Linked DNA regions of Ovis aries. The protein of the gene in region 1 purifies or fractionates together with the protein of each later gene. This does not show direct contact. Links are inferred from orthologs where the notes say so. Each region holds a gene or a part of one and is shown in the gene's direction. Other genes may lie near its edges.

The links.
Region 2: the proteins of PTEN (region 1) and OTUD3 purify together in Homo sapiens (affinity purification with western blotting; 3 studies listed by BioGRID and IntAct, with this or other methods). This does not show direct contact. The link is inferred for Ovis aries from reciprocal best matches to the Homo sapiens genes PTEN and OTUD3.

The regions. Positions count from the first base shown.
Region 1 is NC_056075.1:9,326,885-9,334,238, forward strand, and holds part of PTEN (phosphatidylinositol 3,4,5-trisphosphate 3-phosphatase and dual-specificity protein phosphatase PTEN), read left to right. Parts: intron 1-5,253; coding exon 5,254-5,420; intron 5,421-7,354. UniProt on the Homo sapiens protein: Dual-specificity protein phosphatase, dephosphorylating tyrosine-, serine- and threonine-phosphorylated proteins.
Region 2 is NC_056055.1:246,525,852-246,533,828, reverse strand, and holds the start of OTUD3 (OTU domain-containing protein 3), read left to right. Parts: upstream 1-3,807; 5' UTR 3,808-3,950; coding exon 3,951-4,171; intron 4,172-4,185; exon of another isoform or gene 4,186-4,464; intron 4,465-7,977.

The DNA.
Region 1 (7,354 bases):
GCTCCAGATCCTCATCCTCTCATTTACTGTAACACTTTTCTTAACATATGTAGAAGTTTATGAAAAGTCTATAAAGAAATTTATCACACTTAAACTTTATGCAAGTTTGTATATTTCTGAGGTGTCAAAACTGATTACTTAACTCAGCTGTTCAGCACACATTGGCCTAAGGAAGCCCAGACCATTGGGTCTGAAAGACTTTGAAGCCATATTATATTTATGAAAGAAGTAGTCCATGCCACAACCACCAAATGCAGCCTATATTCTGACTTGGTGACTTAAAGCTTGTCCTGTCAGTGATTCAGTATGAGTAGCATTGAGATTCAGCACTTCAGTGGTGTTAGGGTAGGAACCAATTCCTCAGTATCTTAGGAAGACCAGATGTTAATAGAAATGGTGATAAGGATGTTAAAAAGAAAACTGTTATAAGACATAGCAACATGCTGAAGCATATTGATTGAGTGTGGAATATTAGAGAAAGCCTAGCTTTAGATCTGAGTTCCAGTGCTAAAGAGGCTTCCCAAATGGCTCAGTAGTAAAGAATCACCTACCAGTACAGGAGACGTGGATTTGATCCATGGGTGCCCTCGAGCGTGATTGCTTTGGAGGAGGAAATGGCAAGTCTTTCCAGTATTCTTGCCCAGCAAATCCCATAGACAGAGGAGCCTGTCAGGCTGCAGTCAGTCCCTGGGGTCACAGAGTTGGACATGACTAAGTGACTGAGACCCGTGAGTCTCCCTCCAGTGCTAGAGTTGTCATTAATGTGCTGTGTAACCAAGGGCACATCATCTACCGCACCTCTTTGTCTTTATCAATAATACGAGGATATTCTGAAATCTGAAACTTCCTAGAAAAGTGCTTAAAGAAGATCATGTCATTGATGTCTGCCTTTCTCTCTCATCCTGACTTCTGTAAGCCTACCTCAGGTCTCCTGGTCCTTTTCTGCTTCTCTCCTATTCTTTGCCAGAGTTCTTAAGCTAGACTGATAGGAACCTTAAAACCTTGACCCTGAGCAGGCGGTCACGAGAGAACATGTGGAAGTGTTAATACAGCCCTGGAAAAGAACAGACTGTGCTGCTTTTTTCTGTTACAGAGTCTTTTGTATTAGTTTCTGTCTTGGAAGTGATTAGTCGTATTTTCATGTTTGTGTCTGTGTGTGCTCAGTTCTTTCTGACTCTTTGTGACGCCATGGACTGTAGCCCGCCAGGCTCCTCTGTCTATGGGATTTTCCTGGCAAGAATACTGGAGTGGGTTGCCATTTCCTGTTGCATTTCATGTTTAAGAACTGTGTTTTGTTTATTTAGAATACAGTTTTATAGTTTCTAGGTAAGATGTAACTGTGTTATTTTTCTAATACCTCTAACAGTATTTCATTGATACTTTGCAATTTGTTGGTGGTTTTATTTTTTAGCCTAAAGTTTTCTTCTTACAGTATTTATGTAACTTAAAAGCCTTGTGATGCTGAATTAATTTATACCTAGGGAGTTAATTTCTTTATGTTGTTTATGTTGTCAGGTGTGATCACCTTCATTAGATCTTTCCTGTATTCTTAGGGCAAGTTAATTTTATTTATCAAAGACCTTAACATAGCACGTGGAAGACTTCAAAGAGACCTCATTGATGTTTTTGTCATCTCAGTACAATTTTAAAAACTGCTGAGTACAAGGTACTATGCTGTCAAGAGGTGATTGACATACGAACTTAGATTTATAGCAGAGAAGGGAAAGGGGAAAAAAAAAAAACGCAAAAAAACTCATGTTCTTCCTGTAGTGTTAGATATCAGTGTAAGAGCCAAATGGCAAGGTACAAAATATTACAGAAATACACATTTAGTTCAGTAATTTTATCTACTCTACTTTATTTTTCCATATTGGTCTCTCTAGCAAACGTCTGTCAGTTCTTCTCTGCAGTTGTGCTCTCCCTTTAAACCATGTGTGTTGTGTGTGTCTGTGTATATTGGACCTCTTAGTATTATATTTAAACTTTGCAAGTTACTACTGAGATCTGTTTAATCTTTACCAATTTTCTAGTTCTTTGTTTACATACTATGATTCAATACTGTCTAGTAAAGCTGTAATATATAACTAAATGTGTGGTTATACGTGTAAATTACAAATAGTATATTCAGAAAAATCAAGTTGGGGGGAGTTGTCAAATACTTTTGTGAAGGAAGTCCAGCTCTTTATTGAACATTGGAGAAAGCATGCAATTTAGATTGGCCTTTAAACTAAAGAAAATTACAGGCAGTAGGAAATAGCTTGAATTGAAGCACAGCAGAAGGAAATGAGCTGGACAAGAATATAGAGATGGAGAACAGAATAGGAATACAATGTGTGGCTGATTGTTAGAAGACTCCGAACAGGCATGTTGGACTTGATTTGATACATGCTGTGTTGTCAGTGATCGTAGCAGAGGCGTAAGCTGTAGTTAGGTACAGTTTTGTAGAAAGTAGTGACTGCATGAGGGAAGGAAAAACAGTGGAAAATTAAACAGTTGAATTACATGACTTTCTTTAAGCCAGGTATGCTTTGCTGGGGCAGTCAAATGATTAGTTTTTCTTTTGCCATTTATATCTAAATATTTTACTCTGGTCAGGTGAATAAGTCACAGAAAAGGGAAGAAAGAAAAAGGAATCTGAGACTTGGAGACATGAATGTTGATATTTTGGTTTTAAACATATGTTTTAAATCAGGTAAAGGTGAGCTGTTTACATGAACATATTCAATTGGTACTTGAAAGTATGGATTTGAACTTATATGAAAGATATGTCATACTGTTGGAAGCATCAGGAACGAGACATGGTAGTTAAACCTTTCATATAAATTTGATATAGGGCTAGAATATGGAATCAGTCCTGGGTGTTCTTTGGAAGGACTGATGCTAAAAGCTGGAACTCCAGTACTTTGGCCACCTCATGTGAAGAGTTGACTCATTGGAAAAGACTCTGATGCTGGGAGGGACTGGGGGACAGGAGGAGAAGGGGACAACAGAGGATGAGATGGCTGGATGGCATCACTGACTTGATGGATGTGAGTCTGAGTGAACTCCGGGAGTTGGTGATGGACAGGGAGGCCTGGCGTGCTGCGATTCATGGGGTCGCAAAGAGTCGGACACGACTGAGCAACTGAACTGAGCTGAGAATGTGGGAAGGCTCAGACAGAAACGGTGTGAGGGCTGAGACAAACAGGATCCATAATGGTTTCGGTTTAGGAGGAGGAAGAGGAATCAGTGAAGAAAACAAAACGTGGAAATAAAGTATCTTCTGCAAAGTTGCCAGGAGTTAACAACCTTTTTCTTTTTTGATTATTGTCTTAATATTTCTGAATTTAAAAAAAGTTACTATCTTCTATATATCTAAAAGGGTTAAAAAAGTTAATAAAAGATGATCACTGATTTTTCTCTCATAATATAAAATTCTAAGTTTTATTTCATTTCTGTTTTATTAGAGCACCGTTTGTCCTATCAAAGACATATATATATATCAGTCGTGTCTTAGTCAAAAGAACCATACTGATGTTGGACTTCTGTTAAGTGTGGTCTTACCTATCTAAAATGTGAAATTCATACTGTAAAGAAAATTGTCTTCTTTAGGGATGTGAGGGAATGTTTTTCGCTTACTAAAACTTGAGCCTAGTTTTTTGAGGAAATGTCTAAGTAACACTAACTTCTAATGAGAATATTTATACAGCTCGGAAATTCTTGAAGGTGCACATTTTAGACGTAGGTTAATTAAGATCTGTTAATTCAGATTTCACAGTGAGTTTGCTTTTTAAACTCCTAAGATTAAGATGATCAGATTCTGAATTAGTGGAGTTTGAATGAATATGATTACAAGGCATTTTCATCCTGTTTGGTTTTTATCACAGTTTTAAAATCATACTTTGTTCGCTTCTTCAAGCTGGACTTCTCAGTGAAATTTTCAGTATCAAATTAAGTCTTGTAAAATAGCGCATTGTACTTTGAATCTTTAGTCAAGGAAGTGAAGATTATTGATAGGTTGTTAGTGTAACATTTCTCTTTTTAGAGTTCCTTTTTCTCATCAGTGTCTCTCAAATCCATATTGCAGTAAACACTCATACTTTTTATCGCTTACTATTTATTTATTATGTGATTGATGATACTGCATTAAATATTGTATAGATGAGCCAGTAGGTGTTTATTGTACTGGAATATTTATTTAGCTTGAATAAGCTTTTTGCCTTGTCCAGAGCTTCGGTCACATTGATAAAGAATGTGATACATTTTTCCCCCCATATTTAAGAATGATGTCTTTTGGTGATGAGAACTTTATGTCTATATATTTATATATTTCTCATTCACTTTATGCAAGCTTATGTTTTTATTTCGTAATTATCTTGGTATGTTTTGAAAATTTAAAAACCCATTTCTTCCCCCCTCAGTTTAATTACTTTCTTTCTTAACTGCTAGGATCTTAGTGTCCGTGACTGGAAGCCAAATTCTGTCATCAGTGTCATTAGCATAAATGTATTTATGAGTCGATTTAAAAAATAAAACACATAAGCCTTTCTTTTCACACTTAGCTGCCTTTTAATTGCATTGCTAATATAAACATGATATATTTTGAGCTTATTTTATTTTTATTATTATTATTATTTTTTACCATATATTTTAAAACAGACATGGACCAAAGTCAAAATACTTGTTAATGAAAATGGAATGTGTTTCAAAGAGAGGGAGATTGTGCTATAATTTGTACTTGATGTCTGTTGCATTTCTTTGCAAACGCTTCAAATCTCTTTCCTCCTGTTTCTTGTGGTGGTGGCTTTATATACCTTTAAAAATAAAATATGAATTATAGGTAAAATGAAATATGGTTAATATTTTTATAATTATTGAAACTTGTGTTTATGGAATGTACTATAACTTTGTTATAGGTTATATTTTCTTCTGAATGTGTAAGGATTGGTATTTTGTGGTTTTTATTCTGTTTTACAGACTTTAAAATACTGCAGCAAATACCTGTTTTAAAAGTTCCTTTTAATATTACCTCATATTGATGGTACAAATTAGGGAAAATCTGGTATTGATTATATTTTGCTGTAGTTTATTTCCACTGATTTATTTCTATCTATGTATCTCTGTTATTTTGTAACCATTGATTTGTTTTAGTTGGGGCATTAAAGATGCAAAATTACTACTTTGTGTCTGCTGCTAATACTAATCATCAAAATAGCTTTTGACAGTTAAAAACATTTCCTGTGAAGTGATACTAGTATGTATTTGACCATGCAGATCCTCAGTTTGTGGTCTGCCAGCTAAAGGTGAAGATATATTCCTCCAATTCAGGACCCACACGACGGGAAGACAAGTTCATGTACTTTGAGTTCCCTCAGCCGCTGCCTGTGTGTGGTGACATCAAAGTAGAGTTCTTCCACAAACAGAACAAGATGCTAAAAAAGGTTTGCTCTTTACTTTTGTTGGGAAAAATATCCAAAATAGCCATACCTTGAATAGTAACCTCAGATCTTTTGCTTAAAGCATTTAGTTGGGCAGAAATCATTCTGAAAGGAGAGACTAAAAGATGTGTTTTCTGTCTGACATCTAATAAATCATGAATAGTTTTCTACTAAATCTGCACATGCTTTGCTTACTATGGCATCAGTCAGCCGTTATAGTGGTACATAGCCCTAGCAGAAGGAAAAGGCCATCTGACTTTGTAATTTGAGATGAATTTTTCTTAACTTGGCTTATGCAAATAAACTCTATAAAAGTATTGAAGATTGCATATGTACCCCATTCAATCGGCTACAGTCCTGTTAGAAGAGACGATTGATTAAACTGAGAAGTAAGCATGGGGCACGAGTTTGAAAAAACATTTTGGTCTGTTTGTATAAATAAAATCTGTTTCCCCCATTTTGGTTAATGCTTGTTGAGACTGGGTCATTTTATATTTAGCTTCCTCAGATTTACTGAGGAAGTAAATTTATTTCAATTTTCAGCTAGGCGAGGAATAAATATGAAGAGGAAGTAATAAAGAATGAAAAAATGTGGTATTTAAATATACACGTTTAGAAAGTTAGTGAGGTTTGCATCTCACTGAGCTATGTTTAGAGAATATAGGAGCTCATTTTAAAACAAACAGTCTTGGTTTAAAATACTAAGTGTGAACGTTTAAGGTGAGCCTAAGGTACAAAATATTTAGGTAGTAATGAGCAGAAACAGTAGCTGTGTGTATTGTTACTGCCTCCTAAACATACCAGGTAGTAGTGTATCACTAATTTTTAGACAGTCTCCATAGTCAGACTGATTTCATTTTCCTGAATTTTAGCTTTTTGTTGTTGTTGTTGAGAGAAAATGAGGAGGCTTCATTAACTGCAAGAATTTTGACTTCTATTTTGCTTATCAGAAGAAATATATTTTTTTTATCCAGAATCCAAGTAGCTGGAAAATCACAAGATGTAAAACTGATTTTTTTTCACCAGAAACCCATTTCCTATGTGTACTATATAAATAAAAGTTAAGTATATCTCCATAACTTTGAAAATATATTTTTCAATAATCCAAGAGGTATTAATAATTGTTTTGCAGTTAAGGTAAATTTTTTCTTTTATTCATCATAAGACTAGCACACATAAAAATTTTATATTTTGCTTTTAAAAATAAACACCTGTATCACTTTTTCTATACTTCTAGGACTGCACTAATTCTTATTCTTCCAATTTACATTAACACATGTAAAATTGAAGGTTAAGTTAAATATTTATAATACTTTGTTATCTTGAATTACCTTATTTATTTTCATTTTATGTGATTTTCCTTGCATGTTGCAAGAGTTTGGTTTGTTTTAAACAAAGCAGTTTTTCTATAATTAGTGCATTAGCACAATCCACAGTTTTTGAAGTTTTAAATTTTGCTAGTTTATTTTCTTCGGACTCTTAAGTATGTGTGTAGTTACTAACTCAGTAACTTTTCTAAAATAATTGAAATTAATAAAACAGTTTTAACAGATTTCTACCACATTATTGCTGTGCTAGGTGCTGTTAAAAGATACAAAAACATTTAAGAGATAAGTTTCTTAAGGTTCTTACCATCTTCCCAGGAAAATAAACTTGAAGATAAATTAGAATAAAAGATTTAAATGGCAGTTTAAGGTACCAGATAAGATGTCACAGGGTTGTACATCATTAATTGTCAAATGATGTATACAGGCCAGTTCCACTAATCTAGAGAGAGAACAGTTTCTACGTTGATCAGGAAAGGTTTGAAGTAGTGAATTTCTGATGTGATTTTTTTTTTTTTATTTACAAGACCTCATTATTAGTAAGAAGTGATTTTTTTTTTAGGCAGGCATTTTGTAACAACGAAAAGTTGAAGTTCATAACACCCTTCAGTG
Region 2 (7,977 bases), on another chromosome or scaffold:
ATACGCACCGCAAAATATACGGCAGACAACGTGAGGACATGCGGCATAGCACATGGAACTCTACTCCACACTAATGGCCTAAACGGGCGAGGAACCTAAGAAAGAGTGCACAGACATATATGGATAACAGACTCACTGTGCTGGGTACCTGAAGCTAACACGACATCGTAAATCAGCTCTCAGTTCAGTTCACTTCAGTCGCTCAGTCCTGTTCTGACTGTATGAAACCCCATGGACTGTAGCCCGCCAGCCTGCTCTCTCCATGGGGATTCTCCAGGCAAGAATACTGGAGTGGGTTGCCATGCCCTCCTCCAGATGAGGAATACTCGGTCGGTTCAGTCTAGTCGCTCAGTTGTGTCCGACTCTTTGCGACCTCAGGGACTGCAGCACACCAGGCTTTACTGTCCATCACCAACTCTTGGAACTTCCTCAGACTCATGTCCATCAAGTCGCTGATGCCATCCGACCATCTCATCCTCTGTCGTCCCTTACTCTTCCTGCCTGCAGTCTTGCCCAGCATCGGGGTCTTTTCCAGTGAGTCAGTTCTTCGCATCAGGTGGCCAAAGTATTGCTTTTTCAGCTTCAGCATCAGACCTTCCAATGAATATTGGTGTATGTACTGCTTTCTCAATTTGGAACCAGTCTGTTGTTCCACGTCCGGCTCTAACTGTTGCTTCTTGACCTGCATACAGATTTCTCAGGAGGCAGGTCAGGCGGTCTGGTATTCCCATCTCTTGATGAATTTTCCACAGTTTGCTGTGATCCACACAGTCAAAGACTTTAGTGTAATCAATGAAGCAGAAGTAGATGTTTTTCTGGAATTCTTTTGCTTTTTCTGTGATTCAGCGGATGTTGGCAATTGGATCTCTGGTTCCTCTGCTTTTCCTAAATCCAGCTTGAACATCTGGGAGTTCTTGGTTCATGTACTGTTGAAGCCTAGCTTGGAGAATTTTGAGCATTAGTTTGCTAGTGTGTGAAATTAGCTATACTCCAATACAATTTTTTAAAAAAGTCCAGTTTCAAAAAACCCCCCCCACATTTCACTGGGTTGTTGTAATGATTAAATAAGGTACTATTTGGAAAGCAATAGAATAATGCCTTATATATGGTAAACACTATAAAAGTTTATCATTACTATCATTATGATTGTATGTGGTCTTCACTGTTACTCCCATTTTATAGGTGAGGAAAATGTTAAGCAACTCACCCACGATCATGGAGTGAGTCAGTGATAGACTTGGACCACAATCTGGGTCTCTACCATCCTGTCCAGGGGTTTCCAACTCCTAGCACTGCCTCCCAACTTAACTAAATGTAAGCAGAGGGGTTGCTGCAGGCCTTGGAATGTCTGTTGCAATTAAAGACAGGGCCAGGCATAATTCACGTTCTCTCTGAGAATGAAAGGGGGATCCGTAGAGGAGCAATTTCAGGAACTTCAGAGAAGCATGTGAAACATTCCGCAACAGTTCAGTCCCACTCTGTTTCACGAGCTTTTCCCAGCACGTGAATCCGTCTTCCCAGGCTACCACTCCTCTTTCTCTCCATCCCAGGCTCAGCATCGCATCACCACCACCTGTCTTTGCGCAGCCACAGGAACTTTCTGCCTGGCATCCTACCTTCAACACATTCTCCTAACTAAAGCCAAAGATGTATTTTAAAGGTAAGCCCACTCATGTCAGTTCTGGATGAAGATGCTTCAGCGTCTCCCCACGGCTCTAAGGTCTTGGACTAAACCCTTTCCTCTAGCCTGCAAGACTGGGCTCAGAACGGACCCTTCCTTTCATTTCCTATCTCATAACTCAAGTTCTGGGCTCCTTGGTCAAACTGAACTTCCCTCAGTTCCTCAAAATAGAGCTCTGGTGTTGGACACACAATCCTCTCTCTTTTAACCGTCTTAGTCTGGCCAAGTCCTACTGATCCTCTGAGCTTCAGCCCAGAACGCAGCTCTTCTGGGAAAACTTTTTGCATTTTTCACTCCACTTTTTGCACTCTTGATAACATATGTCATGCAGCATGGAAACTGCTGTATCCTTGCCTATATATCTCACTGGAATCTGGGCTCCTTGAGGACAACAGCCGCGCCTCTTTGATTCATTGCTATACCTGCATCTAACACAAGAGCTGAAGATAAATACGCTAGTTGAAACTGAGGAAACGGAGGCTATTCCCAAAGGGGAACTTGTAGGCAGAGTGCGAAAATAAAATGATTAAGGCCAGAAACTTTAGGAACATTTCCAGAAATGGTGAAAGAGGCTGTTTGGAGGGTCAAGAGGTAGGCAACACCATGGCAACACCTGTGGGAAGAGACAGCGTTAAGAAAGAGAGCCCGGAACGAGGCAGAAGAGGGGTTCTGCAGGGGGGAGAGAGTGTTAAGAAAGAGGGCCCAGAATGAGGCAGAAGAGAGGTTCTGCAGGGGAGAGGTGATTACTGATGGAATTAGCTTTTAGGGGAGCTTGGAAAATCCCATGGATGGAGGAGCCTGGTAGGCTGTAGTCTATGGTGTCACTAAGAGTTGGACATGACTGAGTGACTTCACTTTCACTTTTCACTTTCATGCATTGGAGAAGGAAATGGCAACCCACTCCAGTGTTCTTGCCTGGAGAATCCCAGGGATGGGGGAGCCTGGTGGGCTGCTGTCTATGGGGTTGCACAGAGTCGGACACGACTGAAGCGACTTAGCAGCAGCAGCAGCAGCAGCAGCAGCAGCAGCAGCAGCAGCAGCAGCAGCAGCAGATGTGGATTAGGATTACCCAGCTACTTTGGTTTGCCTGGTGCTGTCCCCGTTTTAAAATCGAAAGTCCTGTGTCCAATGAAAACCCTTGGTTCAGGCAAACCTAGGTTGGTGGTGTTAGGGTGGAATCCAGATTATTAGAGGAGCTAGTGGTTCTGGACAAGGGCTACTTCTCTCTGAGTTATGAGAGAAGGCAGAGAAGGAGAGAAGGGCAGGATTAAATAAAGGGTGTGGGCTGAGCCATCAGGCTTCCCTGGTGGCTCAGATAGCAAAGAGTTCAGTCGCTCAGTCGTGTCCAACTCTTTGGGACCCCATGGACTGCAGCACGCCAGGCCTCCTTGTCCATCACCAAATCCCAGAGTTTAGGCAAACTCATGTCCATTGAGTCGGTGATGCCATCCAACCATCTCATCCTCTGTAGTCCCCTTCTCCTCCCTCCTTCGATCTTTCCCAGCATCAGCGTCTTTTCAAATGAGTCAGTTTTTCCCATCAGGTGGCCAAAGTATTGGAGTTCAGCTTCAACATCAGCCCTTTCAATGAACACCCAGGACTGATCTCCTTTAGGATGGACTGGTTGGATCTCCTTGCAGTCCACGGGACTCTCAAGAGTCTTCTCCAACACCACAGCTCAAAAGCATCAATTTTTCGGCATTCAGCTTTAAGATAGTAAAGAATCAGCCTGCAATGTGGGAGAACCAGGTTCCCTCTCTGGGTTGGGAAGATCCCCCTGGAGAAAGGAATGGCAACCCACTCCAGTACTCTTGCCTGGAGAATCCCACGGACGGAGGAGCCGGGTAGACTACAGTCCATGAAGTCGCGAAGAGTAGGACACGGCTGAGCAACTCCTCAGCGGCTTTGGAATCTTTCCCTGTTCTGTTCCCTCCGGTCCTAGCGGCGCCGCAGTTGGCAGGACCGCTCACCGCTAGGGGGAGGAGCGGCGCAAACGACACGGCTGCCCCTCTAGCTCTCCCCGACGAGCTCTCTGTGGCGCTCGTCAGCCCGGCCAGGCCGAGGGGGGCGGGGTCCCGCCACGTGACCGAGGCGCCCCTCCCCCCGCCCCCCCGCCGCCCGCCCTCAGGCCGGCGCAGGCGCGGTGGTCGCGTCGCCGTCGCCGGGCTCCGTAGCCCGCGCCGCTTCGCCTCCTTCGGCCCCTGAGGCGGCCGCCCGGGCGGTCCTGCGGCTCTTCCTCCTGCGGCTGCGGGCCGCGGGGGCCGAGGCCATGTCCCGGAAGCAGGCCGCCAAGGGCCGGCCGGGCAGCGGCAGCCGCAAAGCCGAGGCCGAGCGCAAGCGGGACGAGCGGGCGGCGCGCCGGGCCCTGGCCAGGGAGCGGCGGAACCGGCCGGAGTCCGGCGGCGGCGGGGGCTGCGAGGAGGAGTTCGTCAGCTTCGCCAACCAGCTGCAGGCCCTGGGGCTGAAGCTGCGGGAGGTGCCGGGGGACGGGTGAGGCGCGCCCGGGAGCGCGGGGGCGGGCGGCGCCGCGGTTCGCGCCGGGGCTTGGCGGCCGTCTCCCTGCGCCGGCGGAGCGCGGGGCCGCGAGCCGCCGGCGCCCCCCCTCGAGACGCGCGCGGCCTCCCCCGTGGCCCTCGTGCTGGCGAACTGTCGGGGGTCCCGACAGAAGGTCTCCCCGAGATCGGTGCCCCGGAAGCACCTCCTCCCCGGGCAAAAATAGGGTGACTCTCAAGCCGAGACCTGAGGGGATGAGACGGGGCCAGTCGGGCCCCCCCCAAAAAAAGGTGACTTTAAGCCAAGACCTGAGGGGATGAGATGGAGCCAGTCCCGCCCCCCCCCAAAAAAGGTGACTTTAAGCCAAGACCTGAGGGGATGAGATGGAGCCGGCCTCCCCCCAAAAAGGTGACTTTAAGCCAAGACCTGAGGGAATGAAATGGAGCCGCCCCCCCCCAGCAAAAAAAAGGTGACTTTAAGCCGAGACCTGAGGGGATGAGATGGAGCCGCCCCCCCCAAAAAAAAGGTGACTTTAAGCCAAGACCTGAGGGGATGAGATGGAGCCAGTCGCCCCCCCCCCAAAAAGGTGACTTTAAGCCAAGACCTGAGGGGATGAGATGGAGCCAGTCGCCCCCCCCCAAAAAAGGTGACTTTAAGCCAAGACCTGAGGGGATGAGATGGAGCCAGTCCCGCCCCCCCCCAAAAAAAGGTGACTTTAAGCCAAGACCTGAGGGGATGAGATGGAGCCAGTCCCGCCCCCCCCAAAAAAGTGACTTTAAGCCAAGACCTGAGGGAATGAGATGGAGCCAGTCGCCCCCCGCCCCCCAAAAAGGTGACTTTAAGCCAAGACCTGAGGGGATGAGATGGAGCCGGCCGCCCCCCCCCCCCAAAAAGGTGACTTTAAGCCAAGACCTGAGGGGATGAGATGGAGCCGGCCTCCCCCCAAAAAGGTGACTTTAAGCCAAGACCTGAGGGAATGAAATGGAGCCGCCCCCCCCCAGCAAAAAAAAGGTGACTTTAAGCCGAGACCTGAGGGGATGAGATGGAGCCGCCCCCCCCAAAAAAAAGGTGACTTTAAGCCAAGACCTGAGGGAATGAGATGGAGCCAGTCGCCCCCCCCCAAAAAAGGTGACTTTAAGCCAAGACCTGAGGGGATGAGATGGAGCCAGTCGCCCCCCCCCAAAAAAGGTGACTTTAAGCCAAGACCTGAGGGGATGAGATGGAGCCAGTCCCGCCCCCCCCCAAAAAAGGTGACTTTAAGCCAAGACCTGAGGGGATGAGATGGAGCCAGTCCCGCCCCCCCCAAAAAAGTGACTTTAAGCCAAGACCTGAGGGAATGAGATGGAGCCAGTCGCCCCCCCCCCCCCAAAAAAGGTGACTTTAAGCCAAGACCTGAGGGGATGAGATGGAGCCGCCCCCCCCCCAAAAAAAGGTGACTTTAAGCCAAGACCTGAGGGGATGAGATGGAGCCGGCCTCCCCCCAAAAAGGTGACTTTAAGCCAAGACCTGAGGGAATGAAATGGAGCCGCCCCCCCCCCAGCAAAAAAAAGGTGACTTTAAGCCGAGACCTGAGGGGATGAGATGGAGCCGTCCCCCCCCTAAAAAAAGGTGACTTTAAGCCAAGACCTGAGGGAATGAGATGGAGCCAGTCGCCCCCCCCCAAAAAAGGTGACTTTAAGCCAAGACCTGAGGGGATGAGATGGAGCCAGTCGCCCCCCCCCAAAAAAAGGTGACTTTAAGCCAAGACCTGAGGGAATGAGATGGAGCCAGTCCCGCCCCCCCCAAAAAAGGTGACTTTAAGCCAAGACCTGAGGGAATGAGATGGAGCCAGTCCCGCCCCCCCCCAAAAAAGGTGACTTTAAGCCAAGACCTGAGGGGATGAGATGGAGCGGGCCGCCCCCCCCCCCAAAAAGGTGACTTTAAGCCAAGACCTGAGGGAATGAAATGGAGCCGCCCCCCCCCCCAGCAAAAAAAAGGTGACTTTAAGCCGAGACCTGAGGGGATGAGATGGAGCCAGTCGCCCCCCCCCTAAAAAAGGTGACTTTAAGCCAAGACCTGAGGGAATGAGATGGAGCCGGCCCCGCCCCCCCCCAAAAAAAGGTGACTTTAAGCCAAGACCTGAGGGAATGAGATGGAGCCAGTCGCCCCCCGCCCCCCAAAAAAGGTGACTTTAAGCCAAGACCTGAGGGGATGAGATGGAGCCAGTCCCGCCCCCCCCCCAAAAAAAGGTGACTTTAAGCCAAGACCTGAGGGGATGAGATGGAGCCGGACCCCCCCCCCCAAAAAAAAAGGTGACTTTAAGCCAAGACCTGAGGGGATGAGATGGAGCCAGTCGCCCCCCGCCCCCAAAAAAAGGTGACTTTAAGCCAAGACCTGAGGAAATGAGATGGAGCCAGTCAGTCAGAGAGCAGGGCCATATGAAGAGCAGTCAGACAGGCGCAAGGAGGTGTAAGCCCCACTTGACAGGATGCTTGGACTCCTTTGATCCCTTACTGTTGGGTATTGCCCTCCTGCCACACTCAGGAAATTAGGCCTGAGAGGGCCTGTCGTTTGCTAAGTTGAAGGCAGTTTCTCTTTAATTCTTCCTTGCATGGACTTCAGTTTCTCCTCTGTAAGCAGTGGCGCTTACCTAGCATTGCTTGGGGGGTTTAGACAGAAATCTAAGTCCAGCTTTGTAGGTCTAGCTTTTTGAAAGAACACGGGGTAAACACTTGGGATAGTAGAAGAGAGAGAGTGGATGATGGGAAGGAAAAATGACCCCAGGAAGAGGGATATGGATCCAGGAGTGTGGAGGAAAGAATAAAAAGGGTAGGGAGAGGTGAGGAGATCAGTTAGCATCCCCATTGTGGGGGTAGGTAAAAGGGAGTCTGGTTGCAAGAGTGTGGCACTGTGGAAGAGGCAGTATTAATAACAGCCTGGCTATTGTTTCTTCCTTCATTTGGGGGCTCAGCTAGGCAAAGAGGCAAGAATAAGATGAAGCTGAAGACCACACAGAATTGCCTTAGCCTTAACTGTGGAAGAGGGGCAAGAAAATGTTGTTTGGTTTCCATTATGTTGCACCTTATTAATCAAGACTGTGTATGACCTGGCCTTGATTTACCTTTCCCAGTTTTCCTACATATGTGCAGTGTTTTAGGCAGATTGGATTTAGAGCTTGATTGCAATTTGTTCGCCACCACCTAACACAGTGCCTGGTACATTAAAGGCATTCAGTGCATTTTTGTTGAATAAATGATGATAAGAATATCATAGAGGAAGGCTAGCTAGGCCCTTAGCAGGGCCCCTCAAAGAGGTGTTTTCTTAGTGGAGTCGCTACAGTTCAAAGGTTGCTTTGCTGGGTCTTGATTTTAGCCTAATACTTGATTTTTGTCGAATATAGTTTATTAAATATTCTGGGCATTAGCCACTCATAAGCACAAGACATTGGTTTATAAACCGAAGTATCAGTTGAATTTGGTGGGTCTGAGCTGGTGTCTGGTTCTTCCTTGCAGATGATTGGATTGCTTCTGTCTGCTATACTGGGGTTGGTATTCCCACTGTCAGTGTGTCCAGGAAACTGACATACTCAACAGAAGGTTGCTTGTGAGCAGGAATTGCAGCGCAGGGAGCTGTGAAGTCTTGAGCTAGTTCTCATAATGCCGTGGGGACTTCGGGAGTGCTACTTCTGCTCCCCTGCCCCTGAAGAGAGCGTATTTCTTTAGTTAATTCAGGAAACATTGGTTGAGGAAGGTGCTGGGAATACATTGCCTAGTAAGAAAGAAACAGGACAGCAGGTCTCACACATTCTGGTCTTAGGATCCCTT